Coturnix japonica: one gene and its partner. The protein of the gene in region 1 interacts with the protein of each later gene in a biochemical or structural test. Links are inferred from orthologs where the notes say so. Each region holds a gene or a part of one and is shown on either strand. Other genes may lie near its edges. The genes, in order: CDK9 and CCNT2.

The links.
Region 2: the proteins of CDK9 (region 1) and CCNT2 form a complex in vitro, tested with the Homo sapiens proteins (4 studies listed by BioGRID, with this or other methods). The link is inferred for Coturnix japonica from reciprocal best matches to the Homo sapiens genes CDK9 and CCNT2.

What each region holds. Positions count from the first base shown.
Region 1 is NC_029532.1:3,652,135-3,656,572, forward strand, and holds the start of CDK9 (cyclin-dependent kinase 9), read right to left. Parts: upstream 2,977-4,438; 5' UTR 2,934-2,976; coding exon 2,842-2,933; intron 2,537-2,841; coding exon 2,455-2,536; intron 2,033-2,454; coding exon 1,942-2,032; intron 88-1,941; coding exon 1-87. Other genes in the region: SH2D3C (SH2 domain-containing protein 3C), read left to right, coding at 3,776-3,815. UniProt on the Homo sapiens protein: Protein kinase involved in the regulation of transcription.
Region 2 is NC_029522.1:27,675,595-27,678,431, forward strand, and holds part of CCNT2 (cyclin-T2), read left to right. Parts: intron 1-533; coding exon 534-697; intron 698-2,004; coding exon 2,005-2,075; intron 2,076-2,268; coding exon 2,269-2,837. UniProt on the Homo sapiens protein: Regulatory subunit of the cyclin-dependent kinase pair (CDK9/cyclin T) complex, also called positive transcription elongation factor B (P-TEFB), which is proposed to facilitate the transition from abortive to production elongation by phosphorylating the CTD (carboxy-terminal domain) of the large subunit of RNA polymerase II (RNAP II).

The DNA of each region.
Region 1 (4,438 bases):
GGGTGTTGCTGAGAAGTCCAGCCAGGTCGTGCTCACAGAAGTCAAACACCAGGTAGATACTGCCCTTGCAGCGGTTGTATGGAGAGGCTACAGGAGAGGCAAAGAGGAACAGTCAGCAAGGGATTTAGTTCCTCCTGACCTCCATCCATCCTCACTCACTAGGTGAAACCTCACGGCAGAGGAACATCAAAACAGGGACTCCAGATGCCTCAAGAGCCTTCAAAAAGAGGTATTAAAACAGCAAAACAAGCAACAGTGGATGAGGATCAGAGTGGTAGTGAACATCATGAGAAAGGCAAAGCAAGAGCAAAAAAGTCTTTGAAAGCTTCATTTGTGTGTTGTGCTGCGTGTATTAACAGCTGTGGGGTTTTGTGCCTACAAACTGCAGCCCGTGGGTGCACACACACAGCTGACAGCCGAGCACAATCATTGCATCAGCATTAGAGGAGGAACAGGCAAAGACAGACTCACAGGAATACAGCAAATATTTCTAAAGCAACATCAGAAAGTGAAGTTTACTGCAACCTCAAATGGTGTCTATGAGAACAGACTGATGCAGATCAATATGATTTAAAACCCCAACTTCAATTGCAATTTATGGTCAATGACAGGAAACCTCAAATGAAGCAATCAATTTCAATCTTGCTCCTAGAGCACACGTGCAAAACACCAAAACAAAAGGCTGATTTTGATCAGCTGTGCACAGCAAAACCTGCTGATCAGCAGCAAGAACCAGAAAATGTGGGCTAAGCTCAGCCTGCACAGTAAATGCAGCCTGGAGGATGCTTTCTAGATTGCACATGACAGTGGTGCCGTCCTCACAACCCCTCTTCCAACATAAAAAGAGAAAAGCTTAAAGTCTGAGAACAGTCAATGAAATGTTTCTGTTTTTCACTTGAATCTGAGGTCAAGGTAGAAAAGTAGAATTTAAACAAGACCCAAACAATCTGACACAGCTACAAAAATATTGACCTGAGACGTGCCAGCAGCATGCAGTCATCACAGCTGGTTTAATCAATCCAAGAATTAAACATTAACTCAGTGTTTTTCCTCCTACCTACTGGTTCAAAAACCGACAGTTACCTACATTCTATGGAGCAACACCAAGTTCCCAGACCTAGGCCTGAGATTCCTACCAGTTGAGTGTAAAAAACAGCAGCAGAAAGGTGCTATTATCAATTGTATTTAACCAAAAAGAACTGACTACAGCATGGCAGGCTTTAATATCATCTGTCGCTTTCCAAACCTCTTTTGCAGTACAAATCCATATAAGAGAAGGATATATAAAAATGAGGAAATGCTTTAAAATGATTTCCCTGGAAACTGAGCCTGGCCAGGTGCATTAAGCACATCAGTCACACAGCAGAGACGTGCTGCCTCCCCCAGGGACTGCCTGCAGCGATGAGATGGAACAGCAGCTCAGCACAGAGCAACTGAATTGCTCACTGTGAAGTGGCAGCACTTCCAATCCAGCCCTCAAAGCCTGGGGGGTTCTGTCATGCACAGGAGAGGCTGAGCAAGTCTCCAGCTGGAGCTGTCACCAGCACAAAGCTCCACGAGCTGCAGAAACACGGCTCCTGCTCCCAATGGCATCAGCATCATAAAGCTGCAAAACCACCACCAGGCAGAAAACGTTCTGTTTCACATTCTCTCCTGCTGCAGGTTCATTTAAAGCCATTCAGCCAGCACACAGACAGCAGTCACTGAGACAGCACAGGCATGTGCCAGCAGCACTGACAACAGCTTTTTCCAGCCAAGCTGCAGCACAGTAGCACTCATTCAAAATGAGTTTCCACAGATGAGCGTGTGGTCACCCCAGATTAAACACATGCTCAGCTGGAGGATCCACCCCCAGTGCAACACAGCAGCCTGCTGAGCCAAGAACAAAGGCTGAAAACAGACACCCCCTCAGCACAGCACAAATGAGACCCCGGCAGCTACCTTTGGTCCTACAGATTTCTATGAGGTTCACCACATTCTCATGCTTCAGCAGCTGGAGGATTTTAATCTCTCGCAGAGCTGTGATGGGGAACTGGAAAGGAGAAGACACAGGTTAGGAGTGCAGCTCACATCTGCTTATAGAACAGGAGAGATTGGACTGCTGCAGCACAGGACACCTGCTTGAGTAGCACTGCAACAGCTCATTTAAGAGTAATTGAAACTACAAAACATTACAGGGGCGACAAAACTCATTGGCCACCCTTAGGATTCTGCCACAAGGTGGAGGTGTTTGTGTGACATGGACACCTGCCCTCCTTTCCCATCTATGAGCACAGCACATGGCAAAGCCCCAATTGACCCACAGCACAACCACCCCACCCCCATGTGCTGTGTGCTGTTACTCAAGACCTGGCACGTTACAGCAGTAAACACCATTAAAGTTAATACACACTGATGTTCCATAGCCCACCCCCCACCCCATCCCCTCCATAGCACAGCACAGCTCACACCTACCCCCTCCTTCTCGTTCTCCATCAGCACCTTCTTCAGCGCCACCTTTTTCCCCGTCTGCCGGTGTTTGGCTTTGAACACCTCCCTGTAACAACAAGAAGAGACCCATGTAACAACAAGGACCCATATAACAACACGGAGAGACCCACGTAACAACAAGGACCCACGTAACAACAACAAGGACCCATATAACAACACGGAGAGACCCATGTAACAACAACAAGGCCCCATGAGCCCCATAAGGAGGAGGCCGAGGCCCGCAGCCCCCACAGCACAAAGGCCCCGGGTCAGGCCGCGGCCTGTTCCCCATGACGCTGAATAACAGCAGATAATCGGCCCCATAGGAGCCATGCCCGGGCTGGGAGCAGAGCCGAGGCCCGCAGCGCTCACCCGAACGTGCCCTGCCCGATCTTGGCGAGCTTCTCGTACTTGGACACCTCATCGCAGAACGGGCACTCCACCATGTCGTACTGCTTGGCCATGCCGGCCGACGGCTTCACTTCCGCCCTCTCGCCTTACGCTATTTCCGGCGCGCCGGCGCGCTGCCTGCTGGGATTTGTAGTCCACCTTAGGCCGCCATGTTGTCACCCCGGATAAACCCGTATCACCCTGCGGCTTTATGGCTGTCTATAGCTGTGTGCCCGCGTTCCCTCCCTCACAGTGTCACCCACATAGGAAGGGCCGTGGCCATACAGGGACACTCCATAGGACAAGGCCCTGGGGCTGCCCACCAGCTCTGGGCCACTGCATCCCCCATAGAAATGACCCCACAGACAACACAGCTCCACCAGCACATGGTGCAGTGGGGCCTTGGGGCTCCACCATGGAGCTGAGCCCCATATGGGGACCTCCAGCCATGGAGCTGCCAGCCTGCCCCATGCCGGCACCCAGCCATTCAAGGGCGGCCCTAAAGCACATTAATCCCATTAATGGCACCTGAGCAGCCAGGAGGGGACTGTAGGGACAACAAGGGATGGGACTGCAAGGATCACAAGGGATGGGAGCACAGGGACAGCAAGGGATGGGACTGCAGGGACAATATGGGATGGGAGTGCAGGGATCACAAGGGATGGGAGTGCAGGGACAACAGGGGATGGGACTGAAGGGACAATAAGGGATGGGAGCACAGGGACAATAAGGGATGGGACCGCAGGGGATAGCGGGGACAGCAGCTGCCATAAGAGCAGATGGCAGCAGCGAGGAGGAAGCGCTGAGTGATTGAGAGAGCAAAGCGAGAGGCGGAGGGGGGACAGGAAGGGAGGAGCAGGCAGGGACAGGCTTCAAGTTTATAAACTTGTCCCTGCAGCCTCCACCCAGCACAGCCATGGCTGAGGGCCAGAAACGAGGGGGCTTCAAGAAATTCAGTAAGTCGTATCGGGATGGAGGGGGTGGGTGCTGGGTGCTCACCTGGGCTGGCGTGGGTGGGAAGGGGGTGTGTGAGTGTGAGCGTGGTCACCTCTCATTAGCAAGAAGTCTTCAGTTTTGTTAGGAAACTGGGGGCTCTGGGGGCTTCCATCCCCACAGCTGGAGCAAACCCTGGTGCTGATGGCTCTGGTGCTGGGGTTGGACTGGGAGCAGTCTGCTTGCACTGGTTGCCAGCATGTGACAGGGGTGAACCATTGCTCTGATCCCCCAAATCACAGCTTTCAGGGAGCATTTACCCCTCTGCATGGCTGGGGCTGGTGGTGTCCAGGAGCCCTCTGTGTGCTCCTGCAGCAGAGGGATGGGGTGGATGCTGGGGATAAATCTGCACTGATGGAGCCGCGCTCGGGACCGAAGCGGTGGGAGCTGAGCACAGAGGAAGTGCTGCTGCCCACCAGGAGGGAGCTGAGCTCTTTCTCACAGCCCTCGGGTTTTCCCCAAAGCCCTCGGAGGAGGCTCCATGGGGCTGCACGCCGCCAGCGCTGCACTGAGCAGGACATTGCCTTCACTGCTGCTCCCCGCATTCCTCTGCCTCCATCATGCTGATGCCGGCGCCGGAGGGAGG
Region 2 (2,837 bases), on another chromosome or scaffold:
AGCTGCAGTAAATCAGTGAAGCTGAACCAAAGCCTCTGTGCTGCTGCCAGCTAGAAGCTACAGTTGAGATCACAAGTACTGCAAACTCAGGCATGATGAAAGCTAAGCTCAAAAGTAATTCACTTGGCCTCTGTGAAACTCTGGGTATCTTCATCTAATCATCTCAATCAAAGACTGTATAATGAGCTGTATTTTTTTTAACTGTAGTTAAGATTTTAATTGTCCATATTACACTGATTTATTTTTTAGTACTTAAGTGCAGAAGAATGAATGGTGACTTTATTTACTATTAACCGGACTTTTTATAGGAACAGCAAATTAAATTTTGTCAGATAAATGCCTTGCCCTTAGTTTTACTAAGGCATTAAGGCATCTTAAGAATTTAAACAGAAAATTGTTCCATGAACTGCTGTTTAACTGCTGTTGTTTGACAGATGATCTTAAGCTGTATGTTAATGGCTGATTTGTTTGGTTTTCCTGTTTTACATGTTTGGTTTCCTTTGGTTCCTCATTACAAAATTTGTGTGCAACAGTCTTCACCTTACTACGTTCTGTCTTCAATACAAGCCTACAGTGATAGCTTGTGTGTGCATTCACTTGGCCTGCAAGTGGTCCAACTGGGAGATTCCAGTATCAACTGATGGAAAACACTGGTGGGAATATGTAGATCCTTCAGTTACTCTGGAATTGCTAGATGGTAAGTAATGCTGCCTTTTCACATCCTGAGATTCAAATGCTTATTAATGTGGCTGTAAAAATAGTAGCATGGTATTGTAAGAGCATAGCTTTAATCCCAAAACAAGTCTCACTGATCTCACATACTGAATCCTCATATAAGACAAAGGTATAAGAAAGGGAAGAACTGAGGAGGACAGTTTTGGAAACCATCTTTTTTAAACTTGTGGGATGGGATTTCCATGTACCTTCTGTAGGTGCACATCAGAGTTTTGCTTTTAAATGATTTCCAGAACAAGGAAACCGGGCAGAGAAACATGTATGCAAATCCATCTCTTCTGATAGTTATTTCTGGTTTCACTGTCACTGAGACAACTGTTCTCAGGTCATAATATAACACTGCCAAATTAATAAGGGTAATTCTATGTTAACAATTTGGTTTCAACTCTCAAACTACTGCAGAAATGGTGTTCTCTTGTTGAATGTGCTATCCTGATAGTTTGTGGATTAGCAAGTTCCAAAGACAGGAACTGTATCTACTACAGTGGAGTCTGAATTTAAGGCCTGTTATAGAGGTGGTAGTTTCTTGGGTTCTCAAATATTTTGGGCTTTGCTGATAGTTCTAGATGGAAGAACTTGTTTCAGAGGAGTGGTACAAGTGTGCAGGCATTATATGGCCCACCATAGCTTTCCATTAAAATTAAATTAAATTTCAATTAAAAGTAATTATTTTATGCGAGCTGACATGTATGGAGATCTGTGTTTCCTTGTGGCCACACAACTTGCAAAGGGTTTTTTTCCTTCTAAACACAGCCAGCTACTTTGCCTTGAACACAAATCAAAAACTGTTGTTTAAAATAGTGCTTCAAAGGGTCAGATGGCTGATATTTTGCTCAGAGCTATTACTGGTTGTTCCTTAAGTTCAGTGCAATAACTGAAACCATGACTTAAATTTCCTTTAAAGTCTAAACTTCTTAACTTCACACAATAAATACTTAAGCTGAATGACAGGTGTGTTATTTTAGGAGCTTTTGTTTGTACAGTTTCCTCTAGAAAATTTTTCATCTAATAAATGCAGATTCCGCAAGAGTATGAACAACATTGGAAATGTGGACCTGCTTTGCAGAGCATGTTTGGTGGTTAGAGGTCTGTCATAGTGAAACACTGTACCCTTTTTTTGTTCAGCACTTGTCAAACAAGATTTTGATTAAATAATTCAGATTGTGTGTAGCCTGCACTAACAACTGCTAAAGCCTAGAAAAATTATAGAAGTTGAACCTGCTTATTACAGACATAGCTGTAAAACATCTTTTTTGTTTCTCTACTCAGAACTAACTCACGAGTTTCTTCAAATACTGGAGAAAACACCTAGCAGGCTGAAGAGAATTAGAAATTGGAGGGTAAGAAATTTTCCTATATCAGTGCAGCAAAAAGAAGTTCCCAGAAGAACTATGAGCTGCTTTTTATTCCCCATGCACAGCTGGGGGATAAAACTTTGAATCAGCTTTTATCCTCACCTGTAAGCTAATTTAGTTGTTTGGTTTTTTTTTTCACTAGCATTCTAAGATTTGTATTTTCTCACATCTTCTTCAGGCTAACCAAGCTGCTAAGAAACCTAAAGGTGATGGACAGGTATCTGAGAACTCACTTCTTGGCTCATCTTTGGTCCAGAATTCCATTTTGGTGGATACAGTTACTGGTGTAGCTGCAAACACAAGTTTCCAAAAACCATCAACGTCATTTCCTGCACCGGTACCTCTGACCTCAGGAAGTATTTCTGTTCCAGACAGTCATGCACCTGAAAATTTGGCAATACTAGCAACAGGAATGCCAAGTACCTCATACAATTTGGCATCGCACCAGGAATGGCCTCAGCATCAAGAACAAACAAGGACGGAACAAATATATTCTCAAAAACAGGAGGCGTTACCTCCTAATCAGTATAATATGAACTTCCAACAAGGAACATCTGTGCAGTTACACTCTGGAGTGCATCACAGACCTGACAAACTTGCTGAACATTCTACTGTCAAACAAGAATATTCTCATAAGTCAGGAAACAAACACCACGGACAAGTTGCTGCTCCTATAATAATTCCTCAAAAAATGTCTTTGGATAAATATAGAGAGAAACGCAAACTAGAAACCCTTGAACTAGATGT